Elephas maximus indicus: one gene and its partner. The protein of the gene in region 2 interacts with the protein of the main gene of each other region in a pairwise test. Links are inferred from orthologs where the notes say so. Each region holds a gene or a part of one and is shown on either strand. Other genes may lie near its edges.

The links. The genes of interacting proteins can lie anywhere in the genome.
Region 1: the proteins of HPRT1 (region 2) and ISCU interact in binary tests that used the Homo sapiens proteins (3 or more experiments, as listed by UniProt). The two-hybrid records come from large-scale screens. The link is inferred for Elephas maximus indicus from reciprocal best matches to the Homo sapiens genes HPRT1 and ISCU.

The regions. Positions count from the first base shown.
Region 1 is NC_064840.1:19,109,924-19,117,690, reverse strand, and holds the start of ISCU (iron-sulfur cluster assembly enzyme ISCU), read right to left. Parts: upstream 3,020-7,767; 5' UTR 2,980-3,019; coding exon 2,866-2,979; intron 1,137-2,865; coding exon 1,023-1,136; intron 1-1,022. Other genes in the region: SART3 (squamous cell carcinoma antigen recognized by T-cells 3), read left to right, coding at 4,786-5,112.
Region 2 is NC_064846.1:21,482,681-21,490,535, forward strand, and holds the start of HPRT1 (hypoxanthine-guanine phosphoribosyltransferase), read right to left. Parts: upstream 3,007-7,855; 5' UTR 2,878-3,006; coding exon 2,806-2,877; intron 1-2,805. UniProt on the Homo sapiens protein: Converts guanine to guanosine monophosphate, and hypoxanthine to inosine monophosphate. Transfers the 5-phosphoribosyl group from 5-phosphoribosylpyrophosphate onto the purine.

The DNA.
Region 1 (7,767 bases), on a different chromosome or scaffold from region 2:
TATGAGTTGGAATTGACTTGACGCCAATGGGTATGCTATGGTATGGTACAGGTAGTCTGCTTTTTGGCTATGCAGTTCTATTTGAGGAAGTCTGTTTATGGCGTCAGGGCCAATCTGCCTCCTTAAACGCAGGAGGGCATGCAATAGAGCTCTCTGGTTAATGCTTTTTCCTTTGGCACAAACTGCATTTAGTGGGTCCTTCCTGCCTTGTTTCTGTTTCCCAAGATAAGCATGGAAACCTCTGGGAGGCTGCCCACACCCCATGATGAAGAACATTGTGGATAAGGCTATAGTTTACCCAGTGCGCCAGCCACTACCTTCATTTTGCCTCCAGTTTGGGGAGAGATTTGATTTATTGTGTTTCTTGTCTTACTGAAGTTTGCTAGCTAAACAGTTGTGGTTTTCCTTCGATCAGTAAAATTTACAACACTTTTTACTTAGCAGAAGATGAAATTCGAGCTGATACAGGGAGCAGAGCTGTGAGATCACTATTTCAGAAAGGCTGGGCAGAGTGTAACAGCAGGAGAACTAGGATTTAGTCCCTGCTAATAATTTTTTTTTTTTAATAATTAGTAGAAAAAAAAATTTTTTTTTCTACTAATTATTTAACATGGACTCATCCCGCCTCATAGGAATAAAGATGGCGACCACACAAAACGCTGTACGTGCAAATGCTTTGTAAACTCCGCAGCACCATATAAGCAAAGTTGCTGTTGTTGTCAGTTGCTGTGCAGTGGGGTCAAACTCATGGCCACCTTATGTATAAGAGAATGAAGTATTGCCCGGTCCTGTGCTACCTTCAGAAACCCTGGGGGCGTAGTGGTTAAGTGCTATGGCTGCTAACCAAAGGGTCGGCAGTTTGAATCCACCAGGCGCTCCTCGGAAACTCTATGGGGCGGTTCTACTCTGTCCTGTAGGGTCGCCATGAGTCGGAATCGACTGGACGGCACTGGGTTTGGTTTGGTGCTATCTTCAAAGGGGTTACTGCTACCACCGTGAGAGACGAAGAAAACCCGTCCTACCTGTAATTTCATTACATCACCACAAGCTGGAGCCCCTACCAGTCCAGTTCCGACATTTTTAGACGTCTTGTCGAGGGACCCCACATTTCTAGGATTTTCATAATGATCAACAACCTGAAATGAGAAGGGTAAGAGAAATCAAGACCACTCTCTTTTTGGTACCGGTCCCCTCAACTTGACTGTCAGCTCCTCCAAGTCAGTGACCGAATCTTACCAGCCCATGTTCTCTGAGCCTGGCATAGGGCCTGCAACCGGAAGCTGGCAGGCAATCAGCAAACACCAAGAGTCACCTGGGGAGAAAGGCCTACATTCGTGTCAGTGAGAACCATTTGTTATCCAAAACCTTTTTGTATCTCCTCTCCAACTACCTTCAGACACTGTTTGAGATCCTGGAGAAAAATCAGCTAAATTATGTCTTAGTCCCAGGAGGTTTTTAGTCACAAACCAAGTCACGAGACTTGGGCTCACACAGCATTTCTATTATTTCCAAATAAAGTCAATTTTCAAAAGATAATGATCTAAAAAAAAAAAAGGTTACTATAAACAAATTCTTAAAATAATTACGAAAGCATTCCCAGAAGGTTCAAGATGACTCTTGTCGAAAGAAGAATGCTATGGAATGTGGCCATCTATGTACGATTTTTTAAAAAATAAAGTCTCATTACTGTATTTCATGGCCCTGAAATAACACTGGTTCAGCAGCGCGCCCTAGTGGCTGAAAGGCTGCTAGCCCAAGTTCAGTCACCATGGGCTGTCAACAAAACCTCTCCCTGGGTCTAGGAGAGTGCCCTAGCCCTTGACAAACGTGGTGAAGCCAGAACAGTATAAATACCCATTCAGTCCGACACAGTAGGCTTTAGTAATCTTGAGGCTTGTTTCCCAGCTAGCACAGCAGTAACTATCCTGATCTTCCAGTCTCCTCCCCTTTGCCTATACAACCACTGATTTTGACTCTAAGCCCAAGGACCCACAAGATAAAATCCACTCTGGACTTCTGCCCCATGTTGATTTCCAGCGATCTTTAGTTGTTTCCCGAGCAGAAGAGTCTCATCTTTAGGGGACGTTAAGCTTCCAGAAGGCAAGGGCTGCAATCTACGCACGCACACCACCCCCCAACAGAAAAAAACAAAGACAAGGACATTGTGACTGATTGTTGGTCATGTGCCTGACTCCACTACGAGGCTATGGGCTCCACAAGCAGATAGATCTTGGTCATCGCTGTGAGGTCCGCCATAGCGCTTGAGATCATTTTATTAAAATACTAATAGCAGCAGCATCATCGATGGTCTCCGTGTGTTGGGCCTATGTGCCAGGTACCATGCAGAGAACTCTACACGCATTCTCTCTTGTAGGAAGGGACTGCTAAGATTCCCAACTTACAAATGAAAAGAATGAGGTCCAGCGAGGGGCAGTGACTTGCCCAAGGTCACTTAGCCAGGGCAGTGGCCTGGCTGAAGAGGAGCTCGTGCCCTAGCGTCAGGCTGACAAGTCATAACAGGTCCAAGAACTCAGAAGAGTCCTGTTAGGGAAGTTTAAGGGCTGTGACGCACAAAATAGCAACGAGCAGTAAGGCCCTTTGGAAGTCGCCACTCGACAAGCAGCGGCTATTACTTTTATTTCCATTGCGAAACGAGAGAAAGTTAGTTGAGGCAAAGGTGTGGGAGGAGACAGTCCCTCCACCCAGGGCCGGGGGATCCCCGGACCTCGGGCTGCAGGAAGCTCCAGGCCGCGCAGTCCCCCGGTCGCCGGCCCCAACCCGATCCTCCCCCACGCCTCCGGACACCTTCGTCTCCTCGGCGATCCTCGCCCGTTCGTCCCCCGCGCACCCTATGCTTGCCCCTACCTTCTTGTGATAAAGCCGGGCCGGGGCCGACAGCTCCCGGGGTGGCAGGCGAGGACTCCGGAGCAGCAGGGCCGACGCCGCCCGGCGCAGCCGACCCGCTCCAGCCGCCGCCATCTTGCGGGGTCGCGCCTGCGCCAGCCAAGAGCGAGGCCGGGGGCGTGGCTCGCCCTGCAGCGAGCGACGGGCTTCGCTTAGGGCGCGCCCCCTCTTACGTCACCGCGCCTTCGCGCCTGCGCCCTTCGGCCCCGTGCGGTTCGTGCTTTGTCCCCACCTTGACCACACCTCTCCGGGGGCTGGCGGGGCTGGGAGCGGGAAGGTCCAAGTACCACGAAAGCGAGTCCTAGGTGCTGCGTTCTGGATGGGAAAGGACCTAAAGCTGGGGTGAGGGACCCGACTTAATGCAGCACACAAGGTCACCCAGTCCGCTCTCTCATCCTTTTTTGCAGCTAAGGACGCTGAGGTTCGAGCGGTTTAATAACTTGTCTGAGGTCGCTTAGAGTTAGGTACAATTGGGATTCGAACAACCCTGGGTTAGAGTCCTGATTTTGCCCCTTCCTGGTTGTCACCCTGGAAACCCTGGTGGCGTAGTGGTTAAGTGCTACGGATGCTAATCAAAGGGCCGGCAGTTCGAATCCACCAGGCGCTCTTCGGTTCTGCTCTGTCTTATAGGGTCCCTATGAGTCAGAATCGACTCGACGGCACTGGGTCTGGTTTTTTTGGTTTTTGGTTGTCACCCTAGACGAATGACATCAGCTCTCTAAGCGTCTCTTTTTTTTTTTTTTTTTTGCATTAATTCAAATAAAATTGTTTCGCCCATTCAGCAAATATGTATTGAGCACCTCCTACTTGTCAAGGCGTTATACTAGTCTCTGGCGAGCCAACGAAAAGCAAAACAAATGTAATTTCTGTCCCAACTAAGCTTACTAACGAGGGAGAAAGGCAATAAAGAAACAATAGTTTCCTAGCTCAAAAATGGGAGTTTAAGGAGGAAATGAACACCATGCCCTGAATTAAAAAAGTATATACCTATTTAAAAATATTCTTTATCTATTTCTCTCTATACAACAGTAAACTATCAAAATTTATATGGTAATACTTGACAGTTAAGAGTTTCTAAATAAATGCTTAGGAAATAATTCATATTGATTTGCAGAATATCTTATAAAACCGGAAAACTCATGTGTGCGTTTAACACCTACTAGGCACCGGTCCTATCAGGTGCCAGCCGGAAACCCTGGTGGTGTAGTGGCTAAGTGCTATCTATGGCTGCTAACCATAAGGTCTGCAGTTCGAATCCACCAGGTGTTCTTCGGGAACTTTATGGGGCAGTTCTATTCTGTCCTCTAGGGTCGCTGTGAGTCAGAATCCACTCGGTAAAGGGCTTGGTTTTGGATTAGGCACCAGTCCTTACATAATGAGAGGAATCTCTTTGGGAAATGAATTTTTCTCATAAATAGCGCAATCGATCCTTCTCCAAGGACTTGGAGTTTTCACTACGTTTGTGTCTCGGTTGCTGAGGTGACTGAACCACGCGCCAGGTCACAAGAGGCATTAATGCATATATTCGAGGAGTCCCTTTGACCTTCTCAAAATGGCGTCAAAACCTTAACTACAGTCATCACGCTCATTTCATGACTTCCTCTATGCCCTCCACTTCCTGCCCAAAGACCCAACTTCTGTCCGAAGTTGTGGCGGAATATATGCCATGTTAAAGAATTGTTTTTCTGACAGGATCTTTTACAAATATGTAAAGTTAATATGAATGGCGTGTATTTAGAGATTTTCCCATCATCCGAAGCTCGCAGTTTCCCATTCGGTGGCCAGAGGGCGGGGTTTTGATCAGGCGTGCGCCGCGGGCAGCTTGTACTTCAGCCAGTCTTCGGCGGCGGAACGAAGGACCCAAGTCACTGGAGACTCAAGATGGCGACGGCAGCTGCATCCTCCGCTTCAGAGCCGGAGGCTGAGCCCAAGACTGCGCCCAAAGTTGGGCCCAAGGCCGAGGGAGACGAGGATGAGCTTAAGGAAACCAGGACGAGGAGGAAGGTGTTATCGCGGGCTGTGGCTGCTGCGTCGTACAAGACGGTGGGGCCAGCGTGGGATCCGCAGGAGGAAGGCGTGAGTGAGAGCGATGGAGATGAAGAGTACGCCATGGCTTCTTCAGCGGAGAGCTCCCCGGGGGAGTACGAGTGGGAGTACGACGAAGAGGAGGAGAAAAACCAGCTGGAGATCGAGCGGCTGGAGGAGCAGGTGGGCGCCGGGGTGGGCAGCGGGCTCCCTCCGCCTCCAGGCCCTAGCCCGCTCCTCTGCCCCTTGGAGCAGAGATGCTGCCCTGATCCTCAGCGGCAGTAAAGCCTCCAAGGCCGCAGAACCGTTACTTAACATTGCAATTTCCATTATTTGAGCGCTCGCTGCGTGCCCAGCGCTTTGCAAGCATTATTCCATTGAATACTCGCAGCGAACCAGTGAAGGCAGTAGCGTTGTCCCCGTTTCGTGGGAGGACACTGAGGCTCGTGGAGGGGAGTCTCTGGCTCAAGATTACACGTTCTGCAAGTAGCGAGTCAGGCTTTGAGCTTCGAACCGACTCCAGGACTCCCACTAACCACACAGTTAAACTACATCTAGCAGTAAAGTAAATTTTAATTGTAAGAGCACTATTTGTCTGTAGGAATGACGACGATGATGAAATATGTTGTAGTCGAATAAATATTGATCCGACGATGAAAATAGGAATGGAAAGATAGAGGCTACTCAGTTGGAGGCTCAAACCCCCGTTGTAGCTGTTCCACACCTGTATGTGCTTGGGCGAATTTCCTAAATTCTCTGATCCTTTGCTTTCTCATTTGTAAATTAAGAGCAGTGTTCTTGCATCATAAAATGGTCATAACAGTAATGTTAGCCCTGTGCCTAGCACCCACGAGGAACATGACCTCTAATGTGTAAAACAACCTTGTGAGATGTAGGTGGTGGTATCTTTTGGATAAGCCAGGATCCCAGCAGGAAATAGATGGTGCATTCAAATTAGGATAATTTAAGAAAAGGTTCATAAAGGGACTACTGTGTTTGTAAAGGCAAGTAAGAAGCAAAGGTTTAGTATTCCACAGTTGGTAACAACAGGACTTGGTGTCCACCTTTAGGCCTGAAGTAGTGTGAATAGTTGTGTGGGGTTGGCATCTGAGAGGAGCTGAGACCTTTGGTCAAAGGGTGCAGCCAGCGGTTTCCCAGTAGGGGAAGGAAGCAAGTGGAAGAAGAAAAACTCTTTTTATCTCCCTCACTTCCTCCAGATCTCTGCTAGTCTCCCACTGAGCAAACCCAACTGAAGGCCAGAGAGCCCAGTTGATGTGGATCACACAGGAAGGCACAGGGCAGGGAGGGGAGAGGAGGGTGGTGTGGAGTTGGAGGGGCAAACTGAAGAGATTGAGCACATTCTCATTTTACAGATGAGGAAAGGAAAGAGGCTCAGAACAAAAGATGAAATGATTTGCCTAGAGTCACTCACAGTGGGATTTGAACTCTTAAAGGTTGCCTGTGGACCAGATGCCACGTTGCATGTCCTGCTGGCACTGTTTTTAAGTTATGAGATAACGTCATGCGTTGGTATAACTTGTTGCATTTGTCATAGAATCTGATTTTTGAAGGAACCAGTTGGGATAGACAGGTGGTTACCATTTTTCTTTTATAAGTAAGTATGCTGAAGTTCATTCAGTCTTTTATTCATTCAGCAAGTACGGTGTGATACCTGCCAGACTGACTGTGTCCCTGTCTGTATGGAAATCAGTTCTTCATATTTCTAGCCTTAGGTCTTTTGATGAGCCATTAGCTCACTTTGACCTTAATGTTTTATGAGGTAGGGAAACTAGAATCATCTGTTTTAGTAGGAAGAGGAGGCTTGGAACCAGAGAGATGAAGTCCTTAATGAAAGTACATAGTTTACTTACTAAGGAGAAGGAGGCGACAGGATGGAGGTCGGCATGAAGGTCTCCTGGCTACTATACAATTGCCTGTCCTGCCTCGGGTCACCGAGGATGGGTGGGATAGAGCTCAGAAGGTGACCACATAGGATGGGACCTGGCAAGCGATGGTGAGCTGAAGGACTTCTGGCCTTATCCTCTTTGTCCTGAGGTCTAGAAATTGACTTTTCCAATTTTTCCAGACCTCCTTCCTAACCTCCTCCTAACCCCGCAGTCTGTAGTTCCTGCTGTAACTGTCCTTATGATGGAGCGTAACGATAAGTAACTTTCCAACAGGCCTGTGGAAACCTGGCCCTGCCATTTTTGGAAGCTCGGAACACATCCACATGTGTTTATTTCCTTCTTTTTGCTTGTTTAGGATTGTTTTGTTCTTTTCTAGTTTCTCGATGCAGGAACCTAGATTATTGATTGAGACCTCCCCTCTTTCCTAGAATGAGCATTTAAGTCTATAAATTTCCGTCTCAGCGCTGCTTTAGTTGCATCCCACTTGTCTTGCTGTGTTCTGTTTTCATGTCCATTCAGTTCTAAATATTTTTTAAAAAACATTTCTTTGAGACTTCGTGTTTGATCCATATTGTTTAGAAGTGTATTCTTAATTCCAAATGTTTAGAGGTTTTTCTGTTGGCTTTGCAATTGATACCTAGTTTGATTCTCTTGTGGTCAGAAAGCATACTCTGTATGATTTCAGTTTTTTTAGATTTGTTGAGGTTTCTGTTTCGGCCCAAGAGAGGGTAAATGTTCCGTGGAGACTTGAGAAGGTATGTTGTGCTACCGTTGGCTGAGGTGTTGTGTGTGTGTCAGTTAGGTCCTGTCGGTCGATGATATTGTTGAGCTCTCCTGTGTCCTCGATGGTTTCCTTTATAGTAGTTGTGTCAGTTGCCAGGAGTCCCTGGGTGGTGTAAACAGTCAATGTGCTTGGCCGCTAACTAAAACG
Region 2 (7,855 bases):
GTCTAGAAATCAAAATCAATAGTTTTCCTATCATAAAGTAACGAAATTACTTTCTAGTAAAAAACATGGCATCACAAGTTCTTTATTATGTATGTCACATCTGTAATGGCCTTCATACTTGAAATTTTTTGTAGTTTACACAAAATTTCTAATTACAAAAATATATTATCGAAAATTACAGTAAACAAGGAAATTAACTCCAGTTAAGGTAACACCTGGGCTTCGAACCAGTTCATTCCTTCAAACCCCTAAGAATTTGCATTTCGAACAAGTATCCAGGTGATGCTAATCCTGCTGGTTTGGGAACAATTCTGAGAACCACTAGTAGGGCAGTGATTTTCAAAATTACACATAAAAATCACCTGGGGATCGTGTTAAAATGTAGATTTTTTTAAGAAAAAATTTTTGTGTGTGCATTAGGTGAAAGCTGACAGAGCAAATTAGCTTCCCGTTCAATAGTTCATACATAAAGTGTTCCATGACACTGATCTCATTCCCCACAATGTGTCAGCACTTTCCCCACTTCCGTCCTAGGTTCCCTGTTTCCTTTCACCCTGGTTTTGTACCCTCTCTCCTGCCTTCTCAACTTTGCTTTTGGGCAAGCATTGCCCTTTTGAGCTCATATAATTGATTGTTTTAAGGAACACATTCCTCTCAGGTGTTTATTTTATGGGCCAGTCTATGGTTTGTCTGAAAGGTCTGGTATTTTTTGAGAATTTGATTGCTCCGTTTTGCAATTTTTCTCCTGCTGTCCAGGGCTAAAATGCAGATTATGATTCAGTATATCTGGGGGTGGAAATGTGAATTATTAGCAGGGGTTCAAACCAGAATGAACCAGTTCGAAGCCTCCGTTCAAATGAAACTAAAAGCAGCCAGTTTTTGCACCTCATACACAAGTTCACTGTATACTGCAGCAGGCATCATTCTCCAAACCTTTAAAAGCATCTAAATGTATATAAATTTGATATTTAACTTCCTCAGTAACTGAATAAAAACAAGTTATCACCATTTCTTGAGTACCTACAACTACTGTTTTAGAGTAGGAGACCTAGGTTCGAGTCTGGATTCCTCCTCTTAACAGCTGTGTGAACGAGGGTATGTCTGTTAAGCTCGCTGAGGCTCCAATGATTCCTCATCTGTAAAACGGTAACAACTGTACCAATGGTAGAGTTGTCTTGAGGACTAAATGCACGTAAAGGTCTTAACACAGTGACTGCTGTTACTACTCCCCGTCAGGAATCACACAAGGGTGTTTCTTCACACAGTTTTACAGCTGGTTCAAAAACACCATGAGGAAGTTTTAAAAAATCACAGCTGCATGGAGTCAATTCTGACTCATGGCGACCCCATGTGTTTTAGAGCAGAGCTATGCTCCACAGCATTTTTAATGGCTGATTTTTCAGAAGGAGATCTCCTGGCCTTTCTTCCCAGGTGCCTCTGAGTGGACTCTAACCTCTAACCTTTTGGTTAGCAGCCCAGCACATTAAAGGTTTGCACCACCCAGGGACTCCCTGAGGTAGCTAGCACTTCAGTTTTATATAAGTAAACTCTCCGAAGGCAAGATTCCATTAGGAACTTTCCTCTCAGTCACAATGCTTAACAAGAAGTAGTCCTTTCTTAACTATTTAATTCGTTCATTCAACAAATCATTTTGTTCATTCAACGAATTATTGAGAATTTCTTACATGCCAGCCACTGTGCTACACGTTGGGGTTAAAGCGGTGATTCCTGCCCTTAGGAAGTTTGTTTTAGTGGGAGAGACAATCAATTAGCAATCAAACCAAACCAAACCCGACGCCGTCGAGTTGATTCCGACTCACAGCGACCCTGTAAGACAGAGTAGAACTGCCCCATAGGGTTTCCAAGGAGCGCCTGGTGGATTCGAACTGCCGACATTTTGGTTAGCAGCCGTAGCTCTTAACCACTAGGCCACCAGGGTTTCCACAGGTAATCAGGTAATCACTAAAATAATGACAATAAAGTAGGCTAAGGGATTTAAGGGGTGTGGGGGGGTGTCTATTTTAGCAACCATCATCAGCGAAGGGCAGCGATGGGCAGCTTGGCTGGTTTAAGGAACAAAAAAAGAAACTAATGAGCTTCGAGACAAGATACCAGTGACTGCTCATGATAAAGGACCAGAGTCGCATCTTTTAATCCCCTACAGCATCAAAGATCACCTGGGATCCGGATTCAAGCTTATCTGAATTCCAGGCCTGGCTCCTCTGGGCCGTGGGAAAATTCCCTAACATCTTTTCACCCTGGGTGAGCTAGGTAGGCATGGTTACCGCTACCAGGGCTGGTGTGAGCGTTCGGTGGGGCAGTGAGCAGTCCCACCAACATTACCTACAGAGCCACGCGGAAATACCAGTGCCCACATCCCCTCCTGTGGGGTCGTCTTTCGTGCCTAGGCCCTCTACAGGGCGCCCTGAGGGCTTCGCCACCACACCACAAGCCTACAGCCCCCACCCCTCACCCCGCCAGATCATTCCCGAATTGGCCCACGGCTCCTCGCCCCACAGCACGCTTGCAAGTGGCACATGTCAACCAAAACGCCATTTGCACCCTCTGCTCCCCCACGCAGCCCTCGCTCCCCGGGCTTTCAGAATGAGGGACCCACCCCAAACCCCGCCATTCCGTCCCCCCTTCCGCCCTCGTGTGACGTAAAGGCCACCCCCGGGGTTCCCCGGGCCACCCCGCCCGAGCCCGCGCTGCGGGCCCCGTGCTCCGGGGCGACCGCCGCCGCCACCACCGGCCGCGGGCCGCGTGGGCCTGGACCGGGCCGAGCTGACGGGCCAAGCTGCTCACCACGACGCTGGGGCTGCGGGTCGCCATAACAGAGCCGGCCGGCGCGCGAGTTGAGGACGGGCAAGCGGCCATGAGGAAGCCGGCTGAGGAGAGAGGAGGAGACGGAGGCGGGGACCGAGGCGAACGCAAGGCGGTGCTGCGCGGGAAGGCCGAGGGTGCGCGCGAACGCTCGCTGCCGCAGCCGCCGGCGTCTGAGGCTGAGGCGCGCAGGCCCCGCCCCCGGCGCCGGCGCCGGCGCCGGCCCCGCCCCCGCATCCCGCGCGCGCGCTCCTCTGCCCTCGGCTACAGGTTTCCACCGCACCAGGCGGCCGGCCGTGGGAATCTTCTTCCGGAAAATGCCGGCACCGCCCCCTTTCCCAGCACAGGCTCGGTCCCACCTTCCCTGAGTGACCCGTGCAGGTGGCTTCCAGAGTGCTAAACCAGCCGCCAGCTGTGTTTCTTCGTCGTGACCCTAAACTGGGCGCCGGCTCTGCAGGTTCCAGTCCTCACGTGGCGCCTCTCATCAGGCGTCCCTTTCCTAAGACTTTGCACCAGCTTGCGGCTTCCATTTTCCTGACTTGTGGCCAAGTTCTTCCAAAAATCCTTAACTGGCTATGAGAGTTAAAACCCAGGGCCCTAGAGTTAGCCAGCCAGATGAGGATGCAAATCCGGAAGAAACACTTAACTGCTCTGTGACCTTGTCCAAATTACTTAGACTCTTGGAGGCTCAGTAAAATGAGGACATTAACGTTAAGAAAACCAAAAAAGAAAAAAAAAAAAAACCCACTGCCGTCGAGTCAATTCTGACTCATAGCGACCCCACAGAACAGAATAGAACTGCCCCACAGGATTTCCAAGGAGAGCCTGGTGATTCGAACTGCTGACCTTTTGGTTAGCAGCTGTAGCACTTAACCACTAGGCCACCAGGGTTCCCAACGTTAAGAAAAAGCTACTGTAAATTCAGTTTAAAAATTCAACATTTAAAATAAGTATTGTTGCAATGGTATATATATACATACATAGATATTTTGCATAGCAATACAAAAAAAATTTTTTAATACAAATTTTGGAGGACCACAGCATATGGTTAAAAACCATGTTCTTAGTAAATTAAGAAATTTATGGAGTTATAAAGTACAGTACTTAAGACAATGTACACTCAGTAAATGGGAACTATCGCTGTTACTGATCTTCATTTTTGCCTCAACAATTTCCTCTTTGGAACTGAAAAAACAAAATCGCCTACTGACTCTCAAACAGGTTAAGTAAGCCACAGTTGCTCCAGAGATGCCGTTCCTGATGTACTCATCTGTGTATAGCGCCAGCATCTACCACACAGTGCCGGGCACAAAGTTGGTGGCCTCTCTCTTAGTAAGGACACTGAGGGATATAAGAGATACGTGCTGGTAGAATATCTGTGAAACTGGGCAAGTCATTGGACTTCTCTGAGCCTCAGTCTCCTCATCTAAAAAAATGAAAATAATAATTTCTGCCATGAGGGATTATTATGAGAATTTGTAAAGATCATGTATGTAAAGCACCTAGCATAGTATTTGCCACATAGTAGGAGGAGTTAGCTGTTATAAGTTAAGCATTTTGAAGTCCGTACTTCCCTGTTTCTCTGTCTTCCCTACCTATCATGGGGAGGCAGCAGGCTATAATGGAGAAGGTACATGTGGGCTTTGGACTGAGAAAGACCTAAGTTCAAATTATGATCTCACTGTTTACTAACTAGCATTATGACCTTGGGCAGGATCCTCTGTGTGCTTCAGTTTCCTCAAATATCAAATGGGAATAATATCTCCTTCACAGGGTATGATGAGGATTTAACTAAATAATATACGTAAAAGTGTCTAGCATAGTGCTTGGTTCAATAAGTAATAATTTTATGGTTCATAATTTTGCCTTAAACAGGTTTTCACTCTGTATCCTAGTCTCTACGACTTCTCATCCGTTCCCCTGTTGATGGGCATTTGGGCAGATTCCAGGTTTTGGCTATTGCAAACAGTGCTGCTATGCACATTCTTTATATGTCTTTGATGAAGACATGAGGGCATTTCTATTGAGTATAGACATTGATGTTCAAATTAGCACATTTTTACTAACCCTTTTAATAAACATTGAGTTCTACCAGGAAGTTAATTCAGAGAACTTCCAGTTATACATCCGGCCCTGACAAGTGCAGACTCAGCTACCCACATTTGTTTCTAAATTAGGTACCCAACAATTCAGAATCCTCCCAGCTTGCTTCTGGTTTGCATTTCCTATCCCCAACCTCTGCGGTACCACACACTGTTGCATTTCAACAATAGATTTGAAATAAACAGTGATAGCCTGTCACTCTATGTGATCACTAAAAAAAAAAAAAACACCAGGAGTTTTTATTTGTATTTAAAATGTAAAACAGCAAACAGTGCAAACTTTGAGACGTAATCTTTGGTAAGTGCAAATTTGTTCAAATATGAAATATCTTACCGAATTTGGACAATATATTCAAAATTGAAATTTAGTCTTTTAACTTTTAATTGTTTTAAAACTAAAGAAGGAATCAAGAAAATAATGATCCTTACTAATCATTACGTGATTATTACTGAAAATAAATTCATCATATAGAGGCTCTGGGTGTCAAATATACTAGGTGTTGTTACCGCAAATCGCGGGTTCGAGCCGCCTGTCGCAAAGCCCATACTGAGACAGGAGGAGGTAAGCAGTAAGAAGGCTTTATTGAATACTGGTATTCAAGAGACCCAAACCCACCCAGTTCAAGAGACAGAGGGGGTTAAATTTCTCCCAAATTCTGTCTAATTCTAAAGAGCTAGTGGAGAGTTTTATAGGGGGAAGGTCAGGGCTACCTAATGTTTTTGAGCACGTAGCCCACAGATGGTCTTACACATCACAAAACAACTATAAGAAACTCTTTATTAAACTAAAGATATGCATGCCAGACATCTGGACTCTAATCAGTATGTTTGTAACAGGCTGAAAAACTCACATAAGAATCTCTCGGCTAGTGGAACTGTTCTGCCAAGTCCACTCTGGCTGAGATAGGGAGCAAGAAAGAAAGTTGCAGATTAAAAAGTGTCAGCTTTTCTCACTGCCGTTTTGCCGGCTGAAGGCCATTTCTCAAAAGAACAAAAAAGAGAAGAGAGACCAAGGCCACAGGAGCTGAGAGAGCTCCGCCCTCCCTTGGAAGAGACCCGTGCAGCTGGTGCAATGAAAAATGTTTAGAGATTAGAGATCATTATGGCGTTAGTTGCGTCAAGCTCTCAATCACCCATTTTGAATAGGAGAAAACATGTTGTAAGGTATTAGGGTGTTTGGTATGTTTAAGAGCGGAACAGGCTGCTCAGCTATATCTTGAACAGAACCTGTACCATTTTCCAAAAACTAGAGATTAATCACAGCTTATACAGCTATACTAAAACAAACTAGAAAATATATTCCCTCGAATATTTAAAACACTAGAGAAAATGTATTTTCTCTACTCCAGTATTATCCCACAAAATGATCTTTAAACAAATAGTAGTTTAGCTTAATTAGTAAAGAATGTCTGCCTTGAGCATCGTGCTCTTAAAGAGCTATCTATATGGAATCAAACTGACAACAGCAACTCGAAAGACTAGATAGGAAGCTTAGGGGGCGGTGAGTTTATGCTAAGGACAGAGGAACAACTCAGAAAAGGAGGGTGAGAATGGTTGCACAACTCAATGAATGTAATCAATGTCACTGAATTGCACAGGTAGAAATCGTTGAATTGGTATATGTTCTGTTTTGTGTAATCTCAACAACAAAAAACTTACTGTTAAAATATGCTAGGTATGCCACTGTTCTTTGCTAAAATGTCTGTCTGCAGGAAGAAATAAGGCAAGCACGGGTAAAAAAATAAAACCCATGGCCATCAAGTCAATGCCAACTCCTAGTAACCCTATAGGACCGAGTAGAATTGCCTCATTGAGTTTCCAAGGCTGTAATCTTTATGGAAGCAGACTGCTACATCTTTCTCCCTCGAAGCAGGTTGGTGGGTTGGAACCGCAGGCCCCTCAGTTAGCAGATGAGTGCTTCAACCACTGCGCCACCAGGGCTCCTACCCAAAATCCCTCTACCTCCACTCCTACCTTTCCAGAAACCATTCTGTCATCTACTTGTTTGAACACATTTATGAATTTGTGTGTGCATCACAACCAATTCTATTTCTGCTCTGTACATTTCTTAATTTAGTAAGAAAATGGTTTTTATACCATTAGTGCCGTGCACCTCCAAATTTTGTATTGCTATGCAAAAATACACGCATGTATGTATGTATGTATGTATGTATGTATGTAATGCTGCAAAAAGACGTCAGTGTTGAATTTTTAAACTGAATTTCTTAATAATGTCAGCTCTTTCACCCTCACATCAGAATTAACTTCCATAAACTTTACTTTGATTCCATGAATTGGACGGGAAATTAAACCTTCATTGGAACCGATTTTCTAGTTGAAGCATCTGATGACACTGATATAAAACTGGCATGATTTAACGTGAAGTTCTTCTGCTAACAGAGAGCTACTCATGAAATCTACCGTTTCACTTTTCATCGTGTACAAGAAACGTTGAAATCAAAATGAGCAAATGAAGTTTGAAGAACAGTCATTTGAAGAAAACAAAAGACATTCTTCACAGAGCGATATGGAAATACCCCCTCTGCAGCTGCACCTGGTTAAATGATCTTTGAGCACACCCTTCTCAAAATAACACAAATGTTTGACATAGACGTTGACACCTTCTCTCAGTAGATTTGTCTTCTGGTTTTCATGTCCCGCATGTGGATGATAAATGTCTACAAATGTTTTGTGTATACCTGACACATCCATCATCAACTTTCTTGAGAAACAACTTGGGTATTTAATTTTTCATTAATTATGTACTTTAGTGGAAACCCTGGTGGCGTAGTGGTTAAGTACTACAAAAAGAAAAAAAAATTCTTTTCTTTCTATGGCTGCTAACCAAAAGGCCGGCAGTTCAGATCCACCAGGTGCTTCTTGGAAACTCTGTGGGGCAGTTCTACTCTGTCCTGTAAGGTCGCTATGAG